Linked DNA regions of Arabidopsis thaliana. The protein of the gene in region 1 interacts with the protein of each later gene in a pairwise test. Each region holds a gene or a part of one and is shown in the gene's direction. Other genes may lie near its edges.

The links.
Region 2: the proteins of AT5G64850 (region 1) and EXO70A1 interact in a two-hybrid assay, tested with the Arabidopsis thaliana proteins (one large-scale study listed by BioGRID).

What each region holds. Positions count from the first base shown.
Region 1 is NC_003076.8:25,919,830-25,924,161, forward strand, and holds AT5G64850 (sorbin/SH3 domain protein), read left to right. Parts: upstream 1-1,572; 5' UTR 1,573-1,755; coding exon 1,756-1,773; intron 1,774-2,036; coding exon 2,037-2,315; intron 2,316-3,161; coding exon 3,162-3,209; 3' UTR 3,210-3,589; downstream 3,590-4,332.
Region 2 is NC_003076.8:887,888-894,910, forward strand, and holds EXO70A1 (exocyst subunit exo70 family protein A1), read left to right. Parts: upstream 1-1,678; 5' UTR 1,679-1,718; coding exon 1,719-1,877; intron 1,878-2,000; coding exon 2,001-2,096; exon of another isoform or gene 2,097-2,216; coding exon 2,217-2,422; intron 2,423-2,629; coding exon 2,630-2,707; intron 2,708-2,802; coding exon 2,803-3,033; intron 3,034-3,618; coding exon 3,619-3,757; intron 3,758-3,834; coding exon 3,835-4,047; intron 4,048-4,658; coding exon 4,659-4,864; intron 4,865-4,982; coding exon 4,983-5,183; intron 5,184-5,284; coding exon 5,285-5,384; intron 5,385-5,473; coding exon 5,474-5,574; intron 5,575-5,666; coding exon 5,667-5,813; intron 5,814-5,911; coding exon 5,912-6,029; 3' UTR 6,030-6,280; downstream 6,281-7,023. UniProt on the Arabidopsis thaliana protein: Component of the exocyst complex involved in the docking of exocytic vesicles with fusion sites on the plasma membrane during regulated or polarized secretion. Involved in polarized cell growth and organ morphogenesis.

The sequences.
Region 1 (4,332 bases):
CACCAGATTTTATTTGATTTTTTTATTAGTTTGTATTTTTTTCTCTATATTCGAAAATATATCATTATCAATTATCAATAAATAAAATCAATACTTAGAAAATAAATTAATATTATTGACGACCAAAAAAGAAAAACCCAATAAAATTATCTTCAGTTATCACAAAAAATTGGAATGAAAATAGTGAAAAATCGAAATATGTATGGAGCATGAAATATGTATGGAGTACTATTTTACAATAAAAAATGTATTTGGTTGCAATGTTTGTAAGTACTAATGGTAGTTGTATTGCAACTTTCTATGAATGACAAGTAAATGCATTCTACGATTGTATAATTCTAGTTTTTGAAGACCATATTTTGATATAATGCCAAAGGAAAGAAGTGATACAAATCGGAGTATTCATTTTTACTAACTTTGAGTTCTCTGCCACATGCAATGCAATGTTCTTACAAAGTCAATAAATGGATATGAAATAAAGACAAATATAACACACACAAAAAACAAACGAAAGAATCTAATTTTGTGGTGAGGAAGAAGGAGAAGAGAGGGTAGAAGTCTTGAAGAGATAACAAATCCGGTGAAGTTACCTCTTTTGTGGTTCACATAGCTCCTTTGAAAAACAGACACTTCTCATACTCTGCCACGTGTCTAACTATATCATCAACCACGTCAGTTTCTCTGTGGATCTCTTCACGCCACATCGTCACGCAACTTGATTTCTTTTTAAATTTATAGTTTTATTAAGTTTTTGGTCGTTATGTATATGGTTTTAGTAAGTTGAATTCGTAATTACAATTTTAAATGAATATGCGTCAACTTATTCACCCGTTAATTTTAAATTGGCTGTTCATGGAACTTAAAACGTACGAGCACACATCTTTTTTCTCAAATATGACTGAAATAGTGAAATTGGAAATGAAAATTAAGAATCAACATGTATATATATCATGTAACGGCTCGCATCATTAAACATGAATTTATGTTAATCGCCTCCATGACTAAATAGTTCGGGATTGTTAATAGCAGTCATACAGTTGACGAAGCAAAGTCGTACTTATTTATATCTTATTGTGGACTTTTTTGTTGCTGTAGATGATATTTAAGTGGATACAGATTCACTAACGTCGGCTAGGTTTGATTTTATCTAACAAAATACACAAAATGATGTGAGTTTTTTTTTTTGGGTTCTTAGTGGAGTCAGTGTGTGTATTCATTCAGTGTTCACTAACCGCTCTAGGAACAAAAAAGATAAATGAAAATGAACTAATCAACTCCAAACAAATTTTGCTTAAGCTATTGGAAAAACATATCACTATAAATTTAATAAAATCAGTTGCCGGCCTTCAAATCTTCACCAATAAACTTATGTTTTAATATCATAACTTAAAGGTTAGACCATTAATCGACAGTATACTAAACGACGTCATTTAACAGGAAATGAGAGCAAAGCTGACGCGGATTAAGCGTGTGTGCGTGTCCGAACGAATGGCAGTATCGTAATTAATGCACAAAAGCTAACCTTTTCCCGAAGCAGAAAAAAACAAAATAAAACAAAAATATTTTTGATATGTTGTGTACAGTATAGTTGTATCACCACCAATCGACCTGTTACTTTGCTGTATTAAATTTTGGTATACTTTTTCTTTCGCTTATAAATTGCTCTGTATCACCCATCTTCCTCCTAAGATCATCTTTAACTTATTATAAAAAAAAAAAACAGGATTCACTGCTAGCTACAGAAGCTTTGATCACATGGAAGATCGAAAAGAGGTTTTTATTTTTTATTTTCTGGTCTAATCCCTTCGTCTTCTGTGTTTTCTCCTTACATAATATTAAAGTTAAAGTGATACATTAAATAAAATGGGATGTTCATGTCAACTTCTTGCATTAATATTCGATTTTGATGTGAGAAATTAGTCTCTGAATCTTGGTGAAAAAGTCTTTTTTTGTGTGATTGATTTTTAGGATTGTGTTTTTTTCTTTCTAATGGTTCTTGAAAATAAAAGTAATTGAAATGGAGATTTATTTGGCAGAACAAGAACTCGCCATGGCTATCAGTACCACAGTTTGGAGATTGGGATCAAAAAGGAGGATCAATTGATTACTCAATGGATTTCTCAAAGATCAGAGAGATGAGGAAACTCAACAAGAGAGATGCTTCTCGAGCCAGTCTTGGCAACGAGGAAGAACTCATTAACCCTTTTCATGATCAGCCTCCTGTTGATACTGCCAAGCCTAAGAAGCTAACTACGGTTCACAGTGACAACAACAACCGCAATGAGTTCTCTCACCATCACCCACACTCTCCTTCTGTAAGATTCTTGTTGCTCTATCTTAAAGATTCATTGTTTTGAATGTCAGTCCATTGTATATGAATTTGTATTAGCTCCTGCGTTCATTGAAACCGGTAGGTAGGTGTTTTGACTTGGTTAGGATATGAAATCCAACTTTTTAGCCTTATATGGTTTATTTCTGGCAAAATGGGTAGATTTTGTTTGGGTCACACATTGTTTACCCTAGTTCGTTGTTCATGCTCATACCAATACCAAACTTTTGAAACTTATGTTTTTGATTGCATTTACATGTTAACACTTTGAATATCCATTGTAAGATTCATATTTTCTTGATGAATAGGATGATAATGTTTGTGAATTGTTCATTTGATGTGGACCTTCTTGGGTTGGTTAGGTTTGAGAATCTAATATTGTAAGCATTATATGGATTCTTCTAGCAATTGGGTAAAATGTGGTCCTTCAATGTTTGGTCAAGTTGGTTGCTTATTGCTGTTTATGACTACACATGAAATTAATTTTATATACCCCACCAAACTTCACAACTTCAGATTTTGAGTTTAAGTTGGATTTGGATCTTGATTGGATATGATTGTGATCATATGGTTAAGGAATCACATGAATGCATAGAGTATGTTTTATATTGATGATAAAATATTGAAAAGAATATGTAAAACTATATTTTAAAACAGAGTAAACTTATAGTAGTACATTACCCTACAAAGTTATTATAATGGATTCTTTCTTTCAATCTGAGTAAAGCATAATCCTTTATTTTGTACCTACCATGTGAAGTGACATAAATAATGTTGTTCTTTTTTTTGGATAAAACATACTTAATCTTGTTTGTAAATGACTTTGGAACAGAGGAGGAGAAGAATCTTCAGCTGCTTCAACTGTTGCGTTAAAGCTTAAAGGTGTTTACTTTTATTTATGATAATAACAACAAGGGGTGATATTTGAAGACAGAAATGAGAAATGGTAGTGCCACCTTGTTTTCCACATGTGTTTCTTCGGCTGCATCACAATTAAAATTTGTCTGTTGTTGTTTACTGTGTATCTAACTATGTTTGCTAAATGTCAAGTGTAGTAATATATATTTTTTGTAATTTTTGTTTGGTGTATTTAGACACTGATAATTTTCATTATTGTGTAATGTAGGGCAGATTTGTGATACATTACGATAATGCGTTTTTAGATTAATGAAAAAAAAATGAATGGTGTTTACTCGAAAAGTATTCAAATATCATGTTTGCATATATAACAATGAAGTTACGTTTAATAAAATCATCCTCTCGAAGTTGTAGAGATATGGATTACAACCAATTGGCAGGAAAAAAAAAGCCTTAATCCATACGAAGTTATGGTGGTGGAATTTATAATGGATATATGCAATATCAAACAGTAGTTGTTTATTTATTGGTGTTGTATATAATTATGATTTTATAAAAAGTAAGACGGTTAAGTGAATCTTTTGTTACCGTTGTGATAGATTTCCTTTTAGTTTTTGCAACTCAAATAAGAAAAGGAAACAATCGAAATTTCCTTTTTTCATCAAACAAACGTTACTTATAAATACACCCATTCTCTCTTGTTCTTCGAAACCCTAATCCAGAAATAACAAAATTCATCTTTTTCTTTCTCTAGTTCTCTTCTAGAACTATGAAGTAAACCGTAAGATTGACTTCATCCGTAAGATTGATCGGAGCAGAGAAAGCATATCTTTTCGTGAATTATCTCCATCCTCTGTTGTGAATACATCTTAAGTCAATCCAGATCGATTTCATGTCTCAAAGTCTCCCATAATTTCACTCGATCAACGATCTCGGCGGTGGATTCTGACGAGGACGGCGAAGGAGAACAAGACGACGAAGGATGCGAAAGCGGAAAAGAGGATATCTAGAAGACATGGACAGTGAAAGCGACTAGCGAGTAGAGAACCAAATCATGATATGTGTTTGGTTCTGTTCCCATGTCCTCCGTCCGTCCGGCGACATCATCTGAAAATCTTGTGTTTCGTCAATCACAAGCAAAGGTA
Region 2 (7,023 bases), about 25 Mb from region 1:
ACATATTTTTTTAGTCATTAACATCATTTCTCATTGCTTTAGGCTATATTGTATTCTCTACAATATAAATTGAAATAAGGAAAAAAAAAACTTACAATGACTAAATTTTAGTCACCAATGGAACTAATTATTTTGTAAGAAGGTTGAAAACTACTTTTTTTTTTTTCTAGAAGAGTCGGCGAACAGTGATGGTTAAATGAATTATGGGAGCCATGTTTGGCCTTCGTCTGCTGTCAGCCAAGCCCCTGCGAAACCCCACCCCTGGCCTGTGCAAAAGTTTACGCGCGCATTCTGAGAACGTGCTTTCCACGCTCCGATTAAGACGTCACTAAGAGTCAAAGCACTTTGATTTTCTCTTCTTTTCTCACAAAACACTTTCTTTTTTTATATACAGTATGATTTTTTTTTTTGTCGTCATTTTTTTTTATTTATTTATTTAATATGCCTCTTATGGTAAAACATATTTCAAGAAGGTTTATGTTTCTATAAACTAAAAGTTATCAACGGCAGATGAATAAATATGGAACTAATTTTCTCTCTAAATATCCAAAAATATGAGAATGTTGTCCATGGTTTTGGGAACAGAATGAGTGACGGAAAAGCCATGAAAAGAAAAGGTATCTTAGGAATATCATCTTCCTTTTGCTCGCCTAACCTTTTTTTATTGTTCTTCTCTTTTTGAATTTAAAATATTTTTCTGCTCTCTAGTAAACATTTAAACCATCGTAATAAATTGAGAATAAAGTGTGTGTATGTTTGTGTGTGTGAATGTTCGGTGTGATTTCAATTTATTGGAGGATAGAACTGTTGTGTCGAAATTGACACACCAAGGTGCCAAGTTGAGTACAAAATAAAGATCCTCTAGAGGCTACATCTTCGTCTAACAATCCTCATAAGTCTTCTTCTTCTTCTTTTTTTTTTAGTTTTCAACACACTAATGTCAAGTGTTTTGTTCATTTCTTTTTAGTTATAATATGTCTCTTGAGAAAATGTTGATATTTAGTTTGTTGTTGAGCCATTTATTTTCTGAGACAAATTTGGTCGTTAATGGATAATATTCTTAGAGATAGATCTACAGTACTGTGACTTTTGTGTAAAAACAAATTTGTAGCCGTATTTAATGGGCTATTTCGTATTTGGACAATAGCCTTTTATTTTGTGGGCCATGATATGTCAACACTGCTCAATGCTTATAAATGTTGTCGACATTTAACGAACGATATAACACCAAAAACTTCGAGTTTGTAAAGAAAAATTATGAGAGGATTACATTATGGTTAGCATATCTGACTATAATAAATTGAAAAATTACATTACTGGTTGATGGAAAGACAAATTTTTATTGAAGTGTACTTATTTCTTTAATTTTATTGGAATATAATATTCGATATGTGTTATTATGGTTAGCGTCTGCATATATTAATTTACGATTACATTATTGGTTAATGGAAATACAAAATTTTATTGAACCTTAATTATTTCTATAATTCTGTTATAAAAATATTTAAAACAGAGGTCAATATTTTTAAGAGAATGTTCAACAATCTGGTTAAGTAAGGGGAAAGAAAAAGCTTAGCTGGCTTTGAACCGGCTCGGCATTCCTCTGTCACCCACCAAACCAAACCGAGTCATCCTTCGTCGTCTCTCTTTCTTTTTCTTCAACTTCCATTTTTCGAAAGGCGACGAGAAAAAGTATTTCTCCAGTTTTGGAATTCGCCATGGCTGTTGATAGCAGAATGGATCTGCTAAGCGAAAGAGCTGTGTTGATGAGAGCATCTCTTCAAAAGAGTCAAACCATCACCGATAATGTTGTTTCTATCCTCGGCTCCTTCGATAGTCGTCTGTCTGCTCTTGAAACCGCCATGCGTCCTACTCAGGTGTGGTTTAGAGTGCTCCGATCATCTTCTCTGATTGTTTTCTAATCCAGATCTGGTATTATAGCTCTATGGAGTTTTGCTGACTTGATCGGATTTTGGTTTGACTGTGTTTTGAAATCTCAGATTAGGACTCATGCTATAAGGAAAGCTCATGAGAATATTGATAGGACTCTTAAGGCTGCTGAAGTTATTTTGTCTCAATTCGATCTCCTCCGTCAGGTTTGTTTTACAAATCTTGCTTCTGATTTTACTAACATGGATCGGTATAAATAGATAGAATTGATAATGATCTACATTGAGAATAGATAGTCTTTGATTATGCTCTCAATTCAATTCTAGGCAGAGACTAAAGTACTCAAGGGGCCACATGAGGACCTGGAAAGTTATCTGGATGCAATTGCTCAACTCAGAAAGATTATTCGTTATTTTATGAGCAACAAAAGCTTTAAGAGTAGTGATGGAGTTCTCAACCACGCAAATAGTTTGCTTGCTAAAGCACAGTCAAAGCTGGAGGAAGAGTTTAAGCAGTTGCTAGCTTCTTACAGGTTTGTGCTTCTGCGCCTGATAAGAGTTTAAGAAGCTACATGATTTCAAACTTGATGCTCTTGCTATAACTATGACTCATACCTTGTAACTTCAGGGAACAAAGCTATTGTGGATTTTTAGCTACTTTTTCTAGTTAGTATTTTTTTGGGAACTGGTCTTCGCTCTATGATGGTCTTACTTCTTTAGTTATCTTTCAAATAACCTAGAATACTTAGAATGACCTTTTATCTAAATTATCGGAGTTGTCACCTGACAAAGATTTTTTTTTGTGAAATCAAACACTTGTCAATATACAAGTTTCCTATGATACGAGTGTTCCAGACAACTGGTTTTAGATGGAAGAATGCTAAGGCCAACTCTTTTTTTTTGTTATAATCAGTAAAGCGGTGGAGCCTGATCGCCTATTTGATGGCCTTCCCAACTCACTGAGACCATCCTCAGACGGGGATGGAGGTGGAAAACCCCACGGAGGACATCACAATGATGACGCGGAAACTGCTGCTTATACACTTCCAATCCTCATTCCGTCACGGGTGTTGCCACTTTTGCATGACTTGGCACAGCAAATGGTTCAGGCTGGTCACCAACAACAGTTGCTACAAATTTATAGGTGAACTATTGATTCTTGGTCATTCATCCTGTATGTCGTACAGTTCATTTTCAAATCAGGCTCTTAGCTTAAATTTTCAACTAATAATTGTAGCATGAGTCAAAGTACTGAGTCAAGGTATAGTTTCTTTGAACGATTGCGGGTATACAATTAACTTACATATAATTCTCACCAGTCACCGCTCATTTACAAAGTAGTTTTTCCATGGTTTCTGCAAGTTGTGAGTTTATATTTGACTATCCTTCTGCTGTTTCACTAGTAAAGCTAAAGAGAAATGTTTTTGAAATATGAATTTCTATTGACACTCATCAAATAGTTTGGCTGTGATGTGCACATCGTGTACTCCGCTGTTTGTGCTTACCTGATCTGAAAACATTATTGCTAGATGCAATTCTGTTTGTCTCATATGTGTAATGCATTGGAGAAGCTTTGTCTTTTTTCTTCTATATGAACTACTAGTATTGTCAGATATAAGCAGCGAATTGCATAATCTACTGGCATTTTCCCAATGCATATTTAAGATGCATTTGTGTTTTTGAATTTGTTATTAATCTCCTTCTGTTCAACCTGTTGTGTTTTGTTCAGGGACACACGTTCCTTTGTCTTGGAAGAAAGCTTAAAGAAATTGGGAGTTGAAAAACTTAGCAAAGAGGATGTCCAGAGGATGCAGTGGGAAGTTTTGGAGGCCAAAATTGGAAATTGGATCCATTTCATGCGCATTGCTGTAAGAACTCTAGTTAAGGATGGAAATAACTTTAACATGTTTTGTTCACTTTTAACTCAAGATATTTTGTTCAACAGGTTAAATTACTCTTTGCTGGAGAAAGACAAGTATGTGACCAGATATTCCGAGGCTTCGATTCTCTAAGTGATCAGTGTTTTGCAGAAGTTACAGTGAGCAGTGTCTCAATGCTACTTAGCTTTGGGGATGCTATAGCCAGGAGCAAGAGATCTCCAGAAAAGTTGTTTGTACTCTTAGACATGTATGAGATAATGCGGGAGCTTCATACAGAGGTAATAATCTTCTCATTAATATCATTAAGTCGCCATACATTTACTGAAGAGTCTTCTGTTAAATGGAAAAATTATTCTTTAGTTTCAGCTTTTGGTGGATTTTTTCTGATCTTTAAGAATGTCAGTTTTCAGTATCATGAACTTTGGTACATACTTGATTCACCTTCAAACCTGTATTCATTTGTATAAGCTAGTGAGGTGAAATGTTATAGAATATAGGATGCTGCAAACGTCTAGTTTTATTGACACTGACACACATAACGATTTACCATATTAAGACGTAAAACTTCAGTTTGCATACGCATAGAGTTCACCACTTACTTCTTAGAGATGTCAAACCTAGCTGCTTTGTTTACTTGAGGAGTAATATATGGAAAGTGATTGTCTTTAATGTTTTTCTTCCCATGTGGAGTTTCTATCAATCAGATATGTTTTTGACCAACTGAAATCCCCACCATAATAAACAGCATGGCACACAGAGAAAAAACTTTGTGATACATATGTAGTGGAAGTTTGCTATCTAGGACGACATAAAGTGTGAATTTTCTTATGACCAGTTTATGGTATAAGATTAGATGGTACAATCTCATGAAATTTGTGTCCATGGACAGATTGAGACAATTTTCAAAGGGAAAGCATGCCTCGAAATTAGAGATTCTGCGACGGGCTTGACAAAGCGGTTGGCGCAAACTGCTCAGGAAACATTTGGTGATTTTGAAGAAGCTGTTGAGAAAGATGCTACAAAGACTGCTGTTCTAGATGGAACTGTCCACCCACTAACAAGCTATGTCATCAATTATGTCAAGTTTTTATTCGAGTAAGTACATCATATATACTCAACTTATTTCCTCGAACTATTTGCGTATTGTTCTTCTCCATACTGCTATTTGCGTATTGTCCCTTTCCACGCTTTAATTGATGATCATTGGTGTCAGCTACCAAACAACATTGAAGCAACTTTTCTTGGAATTTGGAAATGGAGATGACTCAAATTCGCAGCTAGCATCCGTAACGATGCGGATAATGCAGGCGCTTCAAAACAACTTGGACGGAAAATCGAAACAGTACAAAGATCCTGCATTGACACACTTGTTCCTGATGAACAACATTCATTACATGGTCAGATCTGTGCGCAGGTATATTATTTTTCTCGTTTAAACTTTAAAGGCTGATCTGGTTTTATTAAAAAAATAAAAGAACGCACTCATTTAGCTTTATTCATATGATAATTTTTCAGGTCAGAAGCCAAGGATTTGTTAGGCGATGATTGGGTTCAAAGACATAGGCGTATCGTGCAGCAACATGCAAACCAATACAAAAGAGTTGCCTGGACAAAGGTTCTGTCTATTTGTCTAACTCTGTAAAGAAACACTATTATATAAAATTTCATTAAATTGTTACTAAGAAACTGTTACATATTTTGTAGATACTACAAAGCTCATCGGCGCAAGGTTTGACCTCATCTGGGGGAGGAAGTTTAGAGGGAGGAAACAGCAGTGGAGTTTCAAGAGGATTATTAAAAGAGAGGTAAGTCCTAAACATGTAAAATAAACACAGTAATTGGCAAATGTTTATATATTTGGTAATGATGATAAATCTGTAAAAAAAAAATGGAACAGGTTCAAGATGTTCAATATGCAGTTTGATGAGTTGCATCAGAGACAATCGCAATGGACAGTTCCAGACACAGAGTTAAGAGAGTCACTAAGACTTGCTGTTGCTGAAGTATTATTGCCTGCTTATAGATCATTCCTCAAACGCTTTGGGTAAAAATCTCCTTTCTCTCTTTACTGCGAAGGCTTTTCTAATATTTGATTGAAATGTAAAAAAACCTAAATGAGATTTTAACCTATGATCGATGCAGGCCTTTGGTTGAGAGTGGGAAGAATCCTCAGAAATACATAAAGTATACAGCTGAAGATCTTGAAAGATTGTTGGGTGAGTTGTTTGAAGGAAAGTCTATGAATGAACCACGCCGGTAAAAAAACAACTAAAAGATGATGAAAACTAATTGTGTAAGGTAAATTTCTATCAAACTCTTCTTTTTTTTGGCTTACCTTACATAACTAGGTTCGTTGCTATTGTATATGCAGTGTCAACTTTTCGTTTTTTGTATTCTACTATTCTTTGGTTGGAATGAGAATGTGTAAATTACTTGGAGACAGAGTTGTTTCCTTTTGTATACGTTAAACGTTTTGAAATAACCATGGCCTAATAAGTCTAATCTCAACTCACAAGGATATGAAATCTTTTTTCTTAGAATGAAATTAATCGGAAATCAAAATCCTAGGCGTAATTTATAAAAAAAAATATGCAGTGAAGGAGCTAAGTTATAAGTTGATATGATTGACAATTGCTTTGAGACGAGCTTTGGTACTAAAGATCGAGCCAATAATATTTGTCCGAACAGCTGAACTAAGCTTGGGGACAAGATTGTCATGCGGATCAATTCTGTTATTTTCTTAATGGATTTTAGGTGATTAATCAGTTGTTATTGAACAGAACAAGACAGATAGAGCTCTACCGACTTGCATACTTAAATGAAAGAAATATGATTTATTAGTAAAATAAAGAGTGATGAGATGGTTTTGTTGTTTTAAAACACACATGTTTGGTAATTGGCATATTCCTTTTAGAAGATCCAAATTCTCCCAACATCTTTACATGGACTTCCCCATTTCCATCATCTCCTTCCACTTTTTTCCCAAAATAATATAAAAAAATGATAATTTGAATCGATGTAATGAGTGTATTCAACCTCTTGTATAATTTGTCTCCATGACCAAAGACAAAGAGAGAAGCCATAAAAACCCTAACAACATCCATTGTTGAAACTCTCTTTGGCACAACACCAAACACACAAAATATGGCCATCCCCTAAAGAAACTGAAGCTCAAGAACCCTCTGAATCTATCAGAAGATCTCACCAATAAAGGGTTTTGAGAGGTTCAAGTTTCTCTTTATGGGATGGCCCCA